Arabidopsis thaliana: one gene and its partner. The protein of the gene in region 2 interacts with the protein of the main gene of each other region in a pairwise test. Each region holds a gene or a part of one and is shown on either strand. Other genes may lie near its edges.

The links.
Region 1: the proteins of SPPL4 (region 2) and NAC3 interact in a two-hybrid assay, tested with the Arabidopsis thaliana proteins (one large-scale study listed by BioGRID).

Annotation. Positions count from the first base shown.
Region 1 is NC_003074.8:5,232,631-5,236,753, reverse strand, and holds NAC3 (NAC domain containing protein 3), read right to left. Parts: upstream 2,298-4,123; 5' UTR 2,024-2,297; coding exon 1,843-2,023; intron 1,750-1,842; coding exon 1,481-1,749; intron 1,376-1,480; coding exon 872-1,375; 3' UTR 558-871; downstream 1-557. UniProt on the Arabidopsis thaliana protein: Transcription factors that bind specifically to the 5'-CATGTG-3' motif.
Region 2 is NC_003070.9:232,271-239,785, forward strand, and holds SPPL4 (SIGNAL PEPTIDE PEPTIDASE-LIKE 4), read right to left. Parts: upstream 5,636-7,515; 5' UTR 5,378-5,635; coding exon 5,234-5,377; exon of another isoform or gene 4,754-5,233; coding exon 4,595-4,753; exon of another isoform or gene 4,515-4,594; coding exon 4,403-4,514; intron 4,279-4,402; coding exon 4,159-4,278; intron 4,027-4,158; coding exon 3,875-4,026; intron 3,758-3,874; coding exon 3,575-3,757; intron 3,483-3,574; coding exon 3,448-3,482; intron 3,091-3,447; coding exon 2,928-3,090; intron 2,719-2,927; coding exon 2,665-2,718; intron 2,352-2,664; coding exon 2,259-2,351; intron 2,123-2,258; coding exon 1,980-2,122; intron 1,890-1,979; exon of another isoform or gene 1,736-1,889; intron 1,349-1,735; coding exon 1,278-1,348; intron 1,201-1,277; coding exon 1,117-1,200; intron 1,028-1,116; coding exon 918-1,027; 3' UTR 570-917; downstream 1-569.

The DNA of each region.
Region 1 (4,123 bases), on a different chromosome or scaffold from region 2:
GTTCTCTGTTCTTATCTTCAAACCCCAATTGGTCTTTAAGATTTGGCCATCTAATACCATCACTATCCTTTTCCCATTAAACAATATAACATCTTTATCCATATCCTTTTAAATATATATATATCAATTTCTCTAACAAATTTTGAACGTTCTTTAAACAGCTGTACAATATTACTATTTCAAACCTTACGGCTTGCAAATGCCATTGCACATAAATGAATATATACACAACTATCGCGTGCGAAATTTCTTTATGCCACATGTGTTTATATAAATAGTATTTTTATATTTTACAAAAGTATACTAGTGCTATAGGCTAGAAATCATCTCAGATAAACATACATTTTTGGTCATGTTCGCTATGATATGGTTACCGTCATCAGCGAAAGATGATGACAAATCTATTGTTCGTTTTAGCTGGTACTAATATTAAACGATGAGCGATAGCGAGCAAAGTCATATTCGCTTTATGGTTCCTAGATTATCGATATATTATGGCGATTAATATAATAAATTATGAATCGCTGATTCGTTGTTAATGATAATACTACATGATGTTGACACAAAAATGTGTCATGAATGATAAGGAAACTTTCACATTTCTATCGTTTATCGTTAGCAATAGCAAGTACAAAACTTATAGATCCAATGCAATATCTGTTTTTCTAATAAATAATTGATCAATACAAAAGTTCCAGCTATAAAAGTTTACAAAAATGTAAATGTCAGGACAAATGACGACGAATATACAATACAAGTCGTAGAACCTAAATCTAACCCTAGAGTTCGAATTCTACGCTATATTAATTAACTAATCTGACACGGACAAAAAATAAAAATATGTTTTTCTTATTACGTTACCATTACACAATCAAATAAACCCGAACCCACTAGATTGTTGACCCGAGTACCCAAATCCGTTAACCGGGTCAACACTAAAACCCTGATTAGCCGAGACGTCCGAGTTATTATTAAACCGAGGAATCCCCTCAGTTTGTTGCTGCGTTCCACCGTCACCGTAACGAATACTCGGAACGTTATGACTCAGTCCGAGTTCCGGGACCGAGTTCTGTCCAATCAAATTCGCCCAATCAAAACTTGGCTCCCTGGCTAAACCCTGAAACCCGGTTTTATGATTGGTTAAAACCGGTCTATGACTATGAGGCAGCGCGTTTGATGAACCGGCGGCAAACCCCAAACTTCTGTTGTCAATCTCATGCAACGACTCGAGAACGTCGTCGTATTGATGAGACGAAGAAGATGTCGACGAACCATTGTTGCTGTATTCACGACCACTCGTCATTAGATTATTGTAAGCTTGTTTTTGTGCGCTTGTTTGCTTTTTGTATATTCGACATAAAACCCAATCATCAAGCTGAACATAAAAACAGTTTAAAATATGTTATTCGTTGAACAGTATAATTACAATTACTATATACTTATCTTTTTGGATACATCATGTATTTAACTAAATTTATACCTTGGTGCTTCCATTTCGACGAGAGGGTTCGATGAGACGGTACTCATGCATAATCCAATTGGTTTTGGTTCCTTTTGGAGCTTTTCCAATGTAAAACACCAAAGCTTTCTTGATACCAACTCTTCTTCCCTCCGTCGAGATAACTTTATCCGTACCGGTGGCTTTCCAATAACCCGACCCGGCAACCCGATTAGGTCTTGACCCGTTTGGATACTTCCTATCCCTCGGGCTGAAAAAATACCATTCTTTTTCACCGAATAACGCCTTACCTACAAAGAACCAAAAAGACAAGTTAGAAGAGAAAAAAACATAACTAGCTACAAAGAAACCAAACACGGTTAAGGTTATTAGGTTATACGTACTTGGTAAAACCCATGGATCAAACTTGTAGAGATCGATTTCAGCTATGAGCTGGAGAGAGAAGTCGTGACCGGCGGCTTTTCTACAGAGATATTCAACCATCAGCTCTTCGTCAGTCGGATAAAACCGAAAACCCGGCGGTAAGCTCAATTGGGCTAACGGGTCAAGCTCTTGGAGACCCATTTTTCCTATCACCTCTTTCTCTAGGACAAAGAAAATATCTGCACTTTTTATAGAAAACAATCACAAAACTATCTTCTTTGATTTTCTTTTTTGTATTCTGAGATTAAAGATTTCGAAGCTCTGCTACTCGTGTATGTATATATATAATATAATATTACACCGCCGCCCAATCTTCGTTAACGTGCAGCCTCAATACGGGTCCCACTTTATGTTTATCATGACACGTGGATCAATTAGAGCGTCGTGATTTATGCGATCCCTTTGGTTCTTTGAACCTATACCATAAAGTTGATTATTTATATTAGTAATGTTGTAATATTGTGTGTGTGACTGTACCTCCTCTTATGATTTTTTTTTTGTATTGTCAATGGTCTTCCCAAGTATTAGGGAGTTAACTGAAAGTAATTTGCGAATATTTGTAAGTTCAGAAAAACAAATTAGGTGATTCTTAAGACTAGTGATTTTTCATGCAATTTACGCGGTAAATTTCTATGAATGAGTTACATAACAGTGACAATCTACGAAAAGTATTATGAAAAATAAGAAGTATTTTTTTTTTAATGGGTATGTGCCAAATTGTTTTTTTTTGGTCGTCAAGAAGAAAAAACACGTGTAAGTGAATGATGGGATGAGTTCACTGGATGGTAACATGGAAAGCGTTTTTCATACGGATAGAACTACCACAAGCCGACACATGTCTTGTGTCTATTGGTTGAGTTAGGCGGGATATTTTTCTTTCGTCAAAAGCCGTTAAAGATCAGAGAGAGGGACAAACAACAAACACGAGTTGATGATGCAGACTCTCGTTATTTTTCTATTTGATCCATATGAGACTGTAATTTTTGATTGAAATCAGATGAAACTGTAATTGTGAAACGATAGTATACAATCAGAGGTACCAAGAAATTAGGCTTTTGTGGTTGAGAAATGGGAACACAAGATTTTCGTAAGTCCGTATAACACAAACACGCTTCTCTTCAAACACTTTTTTGTGTACGTGAAAAAGGAACATTTTACCAATTGAAAATAAAGTTCAATTACAATTTTCTTGCAAGTAGATTTATATTTAACCAATTTATGGCGGTTTATTGATTAACATATTTATTTAAGCATTCGAGAACGTACGTGATTTCAATCATGATTAACATAGTTGAGCTTTGATTCATGGTTCTCGATTTTTTTTTAAAATAGGTAAAACAGGAATCTTAGTTAGAAGTCAGATCGTTTATCAGCAAATTTATCGTAGATATATCATATATGTATGTAAGTTTAGGCTTTTTTTTTTTTTTTCTTATTCATTGAATTTTTTGGCTTTCTACTGATAGTTTTTTCTCGGTAAAAAGTTAATTAGCAAACTAGTAGCCCAAAAAATGAAAAATAAAGTTAATTAGCTAACTTTAATTGATATCTTGTGATCACATGTACATGGTGCTGTAAAAATAATTCTAAGCGAATATAACAAGGAATTTGGGGTTTCTTACACTCAATATCTTTCGTGTCACGGTGCATTTGGTGTTAATTCGTTTCTATTTATAATGGTTCTCTTCCATTAAAGATACATCAATTGGTATAGAACGGGGTGATCAAAGTTTTTTTAAAAGCTTTTGTTCTTCTCCTTTTCGGGATTTTTTTGTTAATGTTGGAAGATAATATCCACACACAGGTCTTTAGTTTTAGATAACTAATTAACATTATGCTATTTTAGCGATGTCATGCATATATCATAACGTGTATGTCATGCATATATCATAATTACATAACGTGTAACCCCGTAAATTTGGGTCAAAATACAAAAGTGTATTAAGAATTGATGACGTGGATATCAAGGTGGTATAAGTTTCAACTTTTGACATGTGAGTTTAGTTAATGGTTTGCTGAATAAACCATATGGCTAAACCAATAAACTTCCAATAATAATATGAATATCACACTTATTACAACTTAACCTCAATCTTCCTATATAAAATCAAAGTGCGCCAATGAAATTCGAACTCGAATGCTTTACATTGTAATGGTATAATTATTTTTCTACCATATATAAAATTTGATAATCTGGAGCACCATGAGCTCCCTCCACAAGCATAATCCAGTAAATAGTAC
Region 2 (7,515 bases):
ACCGATCATATTCTCAAATTTCATGATGATTTTAAAACAACCCTTTTCCAAGGGTTTGTCATGCAATTCTCAAAGAAAACAAAAAGAAGAAGAGAAATTAGGAAAGTAGAATGATAGTGTATATTACCGACTGATAGCGAGATCGGCTGCTTCCTCTATAGATTCGGTACGATGATCTGAGAGACTCTGAACTTGACTTGATGATTACTTTACTTGTGATATCGATATAATTTAAGATTATATTTTTAGTGGAGCAATATTTATTATCAAAAAAATTCGGAAAAGCAAATGTTTAAAGCGAAAGTTTAGGTGAATATCGGATTTTGAAATATCACTAGAATTTTTTTAAGATCTTTTCCAGCATTTTAACTATAGGTCCAACGTGCTCTAATGGGTCACCGGTATCGGCCCATAACAAACCAACAACAACAACTTCTGATTTATTTTCAAGACTCGTTTTTTTTTCTTTTCTTTTCAGTTAAGCTAGACTTTTATCAACATCAACTTTATATTAGAAGTGTTAGCATCAGTTTTTATTACTATCAGTCATATTAATGAAAAATTTTAGTTGCTACTATATATAATTCCTCTAAAAAACTTGTGACCCTTTTACATTAGTAATCTGTAAAATACTAGTTGGACATATGTATGTTATAGAAGAAAATCTGATCATCATGACTCAGGAAAAGAAGCCAAGTCTATTCATGGTTTCATGTCTAATAATAGAGAGAAACTAGCAAGAGAGGTTAAAAGAGTTATTTAAGGCAAATGTGGTATGGGCTCTCCTGTCTAGTTGTGTGAAAGCGTACAGAGACATATATATTGACCTAAGAAGGGGTGTGTTGTATTAACAATAAAAAAAAACTAGAGGATCATCTGATTTTTATCTGTTCCCATCTGATACATAGCAGGTTGTTTTAAGACGATTGAGGTTGAAGACGAACGTGAGGGCATGGCCTGTCGGGTTCCCCTGTTGTCCACAGCGTCTTCAAGTCACCTCTCTTGTGACCCAACACGAACAAAGTACCTGACACATTGCACCACAAACCATTCTTAGTTTCAAAACATACATAGCTTTTGGTTCCAAAACATCTGTTGTGGGTTCAGTGTTCTTACCTAGTATGAATGGGACGATGTAAAGCAGAGCCGGTTGCCCATGTCCGTCCATCAAGTTTAGAGCTATGTATGTTATGAGAAGACCTGTGATTGTCAAGAATCATATTAAAAAACCTTTACTAGATTTCTTATTCGTTTCTCCCCTACGTGAGGGATCATACCTAGACCATAAGCAGACATTGTCCCAAGGAAGTACCCTGACTTTAGCCTCTTGTTCGCCAGCCAGTCGTACCTGCAGAACGGTGCACGATTTTGATCGGATTTAACATTAGATTAAGGTACTTATCATAATAGGTTTCCTTTTTATTACTGAAAATGATAAGATGGATCACCTGAAAACACATCCCTACAGTTATCAATTCTTTTTCTAAACAATATCTTGTCTCCATTTGTCTACCTAGTGCAACCTTACCCTGATTTCTCTGAAGACATTTGATTCATTCACACTCATCTATTTACTAGACTATGTAATGTATATTTCTATCTACAAGTTCTTCAAAAAATTGCAAACCACATTAAACAGACACAAAGCATAAGGACATAAGGTTAAATTGAACCAGAATGTCGGATTATAAGATTTTTTTGCCAGGTTCAAGCGATTTTGTTTTATAAAAAATCTGTCAGAGATGATGCGCAAATGCGGATATAAAGGTATATCATGACCCCAATGTTTCTGATAAACCCTTTTCACATTTTGTTGTTTTCGCTGAGCACCTCTATTGGTTTGTTGTCCTGATTTACATTGATATCCGCATTTGCGCATCATTTCATACTTTTGTATGCTTCTAATAACTCAGTTTAGTTGAGATCTTGATATAGTAATAATGTGAGAGAGCGCAAGAGGAGATTGTAACAGTGCAAACCTCAGTGCGAAAGTTACAAGCAGTCCTGGTAAGATAATGTCACCAAATCCAATTATGCTGTAGCCACCCCAAGGATCAAACATTCGTGGGATCTTTAGTAGCATTGGAATTCCGTCCTCTCCGCTTCTGTCACCACGGGCTACCTATATGTGGGAAAATGGGAAAAGACGTACAATTCTCCGATAATATCAGTGTGGAGCAGACAGATAAGTATGTGTAGTTGGAATATCTAACAAAGTCTTCTTGCATGATGGTCTGGAGCAAAAAAGAAAAACTTACCACAATCATCACGCTTTCACGGAACCACCATTTTGAAACAAAAACCCAGAAGATGTCATACATGAAGGCACAGCTGAGAAGAACAAACCCGACCTGTTTACGTAAGAGTTCAATGAGTCATCATAACTAATATTGTTATTATAGAGATTGGTCTTCTATACATTGGCAGAAATGATTGTATCCGTCTACCAGCAGCAATCAAATTTTCAGTCTTCAACTGATTGGTTTAGACAGTTGAATTTTCAACATGTTAGAGCACAAATTCAGAATATATACACAGGAAAAGTGATGGTTCAAAACAAAGCTGGTACGAGATGGCTAAAGGTGTTTGTCAACATGTGATATTTAGTGCCCTCATGATTGTAACGGCAATCCCATGTGACATTTGATAAGGAATTGGTAATACCTTAAGATTTGGTACGCGGACAATTTGAAGAACCGTGATTATCAGTGAGATTCCCTGTCAGCAAGAAAAACCAAAAGTAAGCTGTTAACTTGTGTTATTTGTTAAGACTACAGATAGGTCAACCTAACACCAATTACTTATACATATGCATGAAGGTATGTACATGGTAGCCTTGTATGGAAATTTAACAGTAGGTATACTTGTAGAAAGACATGGATTCAAGAAAGGTCAGTTAAGAGAGAGAGATGGAAACCCGCGCTTACAAGTATATCTTGCCCTATCCAAGCATAAGAGTATTGACGTTTAACCGCCCAAAATACAGCAAATGCTATGCAAAAGGGACAAATAGCCAGAGTCAAGTATGAGACAGCACCCAGGAAAGGAACTTTGACATATGATTCTCCAAAGCGGCGGAACCATCTGAAACTATAACAAATTTAACGTCAGTATCAGATTTTCTTTTTTACTTCTCAAAGAGTGAAGAAGCTTGAATACCCTAGCATTTCATAGTCAACAAAAAGAAACAACTCATGGTTTCTATCTGATTCATTATTTCATGGTAAAACAAGACCTGAAATCAAGACAATGCAGAACGTAGAAAGTTTGAAAAGAGATCAATGCACGAGAATAAATAATGAAAAAATCTTGGGATCACGAGTGTTTCTTCTAGTATTAAAGGGCTGTTTCCATCTTAATGTTCCTCTCTACTGCTCTTTGAAAAGCAAAAAGAGGTGAAACAAGCTCCTTACAAGAAAATGTTAATGAGAGAAGAACTATACATACCATGAGAGTAGAGAGACCAAACAAGTTTGCAGCCCCTGATAGCACCAACAAAACTTTCAACATCAGTACAGGATGGTTCAATAAGGTATTGCTATGATTTCAATTGGTCACAAGATAAACGTTCTACCTCTACGCCACCTATGCAAAAGAGTACCACCAACACCTCTATAAACCAGAATGACATAAGCTTGTAGAGCATGATCAGGAAACAAGAAGCCACCACTACAAACAAAATTGCTGATATCACGGTGACCTCAACAACACCTCTAGAGCTGGTGGTTGATAACTGCAAAAGTTCATCTGATCCGTCCTGCAGTTTAAGATAGATAACAAACGAATGAGGGCACTTTTCCTTGGCTGTCAAAAGGTTCGAACATGGTGGATGTCCAGAATATAAAATTGTACGAAATTTTGAGCCAGCAATCACCTTTAGCAGCTTGTCTTGCTCAATAGCTTCTTCCCTGACGGTCCACGCAGACCAATAAGAAGCACATAAAATGGTACCGACAGCCATAAGCCAAAGAAAGACCTCAGCCACATCAACTGCTGGACGTTTCGGCGAGTAGAGCTGCAGAGTAACTGAACAAATATAGTCAACACCAACTCAAAGAAAAAGAGAGAGCACAGAGATGCCAAACTATGATAAGATATGCTAAAATACAAGAAGAGCAATCTATGCGGAAGTACAGTTTGATTTATACGAAGAATTACCTATAGCGTTACTTTTGACTATGTTCTCCAGACTTCTACCAGCATCAACAGGTAGCATAACAACAGGAATAGTAATATCTAAAACGTTTTCACCCTTCTCGCAGACCATCTTGAAAAGATCTGCAAAGCAACATTCAACCTTGCAAAACTCAAGAGGGATTTAACTAGAATTGGGAAATAAATAATCACTTGGAACTAGTACAAGAGGAGGAATATATACAGAAAAAAGCCTTTAGTGAATTACCTGTACTGTTGTTTATGATAAGGATGGCAGAGGCACCAGCTGCTTCAGCAACCTTAGTTTTGGTGGTAAAACTGCATTTACCACGATGAACAAGAATGACCTCTCCTGTAAGCTACCAAAAGATAATGAAACTGGAATTACACAAGAAGGAAAGATGAGTACAAGAGAGACAAGCCAAAAAGGAAACTTTACCTTATTTTTGGGAGTGCTGCAACAATCAGGAGGGTCAGCAATAGCAAGTTTGATGAGGGTAGCATGTTTCTCCTTAGATTCCAAGGTTGGGCCAAACCTAGCACCAACACCAACATACTCCGTGTACTCCGACCCATTGACTCGAGTTGGGACTTTCACCTGTCCATGAAATTATATGTTGTAGTTATATATGTTGGAAGATGACATGGCAGGGTCCTAAACGCAAACCAGATCTATATCCCAATTTCTTCACTCACACCAAATGACTCCTTATTATAGCTAACAAGAAGCTTGCAACAAATTGAAAGTCCATGCGACTAAAACGAGGGTTTAGTTAGGTAACTCATGGCTATACCTACTCTCCCTCTATTCTGAATGACATCAAATCTGGAATCCAAAAGTTCCTCTAGAGTCTGTAAAAACCCAATTTCTCAATCTGCTGGCAACAACAGATATAGAAGGAGGAGGACAGTGAGAAAGCAATCAACAGACTCATTCCACTAAACCCTAGTATTACAATCCAAAGCCTAAACTAAATTCCAAATTCCTGAAAGTCACCAAGAGATAGACAAGAGGGACAAGGAGATAAGAGAAAGAGTAAGAACGACAGATCAAAGTGAAATAGATCAAAAATCAAACCAGAACGAAATTGTTGTTGCAACCAGGTCTCTGCGGAAGCGAATCGTCGTGGTGAACTATGTCTCCAGCACAAACGAAACTAGCACTGTACAACAACAACCCGAAGACGAACGAGAAACAACTGAGAGATTTCCACAAGATCATATTCCAGACTCCACGGAATCGTTAAAAGGAGGGAAGAAGAAAAAGAAGATAAAAAGATTAGAGAGGAAAGATGGAGAAAAAATGGAGGAAGGTACAATGAACGAGAGAGAGAGAAGAGAAGAGAAGAGGGAAAAAAAATAAAGTCTCGTGGGAGAGAGAGAGATGAAAAAAGGTTGGTGTCGTTTTAGAGGTAAGTAAAGCTTAAAACGCTGGCTTTGACTTTTTTTTTCTCTCTCTTTTTGGTCCTCTGGCGCGTGGGACGCGTGTTTAGATGTATTGGTGTCTGTGTACAGTACTGTTTATTATTATTGAATTCTTTGTCCGTACGATATTTTGCCTTTTCTGTAGTTATATTTATCAAAACTGTTTATCTGCTGATGATGATAAGTGATAACAGATCAAGCGCCGTGTAGTTCTAAAACATGTGGAGTCATTAACGGAACCAAAAAGTTACACAAAAAAACAAACATCATATATTAACTTACCGATGCTTGAATAATAGTACTATTATTGAATGACAAACCCATTCTATAATCTATATCACTATATGCCATGTTATGATTATTGATGATTTAAGGTTTAATTTTTTTTTCTTTTTTGAAATATGTTGATTGTCTATATAATAAACATCTCTCACTCAATAAAAATCAAATAAATCAAGTGACCTTTTTCTGAATCATATCATAAACAAAAAAATATCAGTAATTTTTTAAAAAGTACCGGTTTTCAAATAATAAATTTGCAGTAATGAATTCATTGATGTTTTGGGTCGGTTCACCCTAATACATTTTTTCTCTCTCGCCTCCCTGCTTTAACTCCAAGTGGTCGTTGTGCTCGTGACGGCGCGTGGCGGCTCCTACAACGCCGGCGTCGGTCACCTTTCTTGTTTCCTGTTTAGTTTTTCTTTTCATAGATGTCTTCTTTGGTTTTAGAAGCATAGAGGCTCTTTACAATTTGGAGTGGTGAGTGTTGTGAAGCAGATCTAGTGAGATTGGGTTTTGGTACTTGGATCTGTGGGATCTGATGGTCGAGGGTGTTCTTAGGTCACTGTTCTTGTTCGCTGGTCATGGAGTGCAGTCACGCTTCATCTTTGCCGGTGGACTTTCAAGACTTTTGCTTCTTCTCTTGACGGCTTGTTTCTCTTCTCCCATGGCTGAATCTGTGCAACATCGGATCGACTTCTCGATAACTCGGTATCTCCATTGTCTCTCATGTCTTCTGCTTTTGTGAAACTTGTTGCTCTGATCAGTTTGTATTCATGAGATCTGGTAACATCAGCGGCTTAGGTTAATTTGTCTCCCTCTTTTGGGCTATTGTCTCCCTTTTTTGGGCTTAGCTTCTCTTCCCCGACTAAGTTAGACTTTGTTAGTTTGGGGTTGAGCTCTTGGATTACATATCAGTTCTTCTTTTGTTGTATTAAGCAACGATTAGCTTAATTAATTGATCGTTGTGGTGTTGAAAGGTTTAAGTGGTTCTCGATTATCCTACGGTTCATCCGGGTTAGGTACTCTTTGAAAAAGAAGCATCATTTACGGAGAAGACCAAGTTCCACTATCTTGTTATTGCCATAAGTGTTGAAGCCCGTCTTCTCAGTTTGTTGTGCGGGAAGTCCTTGTGGTGAACTTCGAGAGCTTTGTTTAGTCTCGAGATAAGATTAGTTTGGTTTTTGCAATGTTCTCGAAAAAAACCCTTCTTCATGGGTCGAGCTTTGTGTATCTTTAAAGTCTAAACTCTTTATTTTCATATGTATTATATCTTTTCCAATTCTAATATCAAATATAATTCAATGAGAAAAAAATAAAAAAATTTGCAGTAATGAATTGCATGTGCGTGGAACATATATAGAGACAAGCTGCGCGTGGAACATGCATGCGATATGTACTTCAAATCCACCGATCACCGGCTACCTCAATTTTAATAATATATATATTTTATTAAATACTTTTTTAGTCATCACAAATTTTAATATGAATCCGTATGAACCGTACCGACAAGACGGCATGTTACAGTTAACCATTAGATAATTATTTTTATAATCTGAAAATCTAATGTGGTCGACCTCATGCTAAGATCAAATGTTATGGCCAATAATATTCTCGCACGTGAAAAAAGCCAATTCGTCCTTTTGTACACGCGTC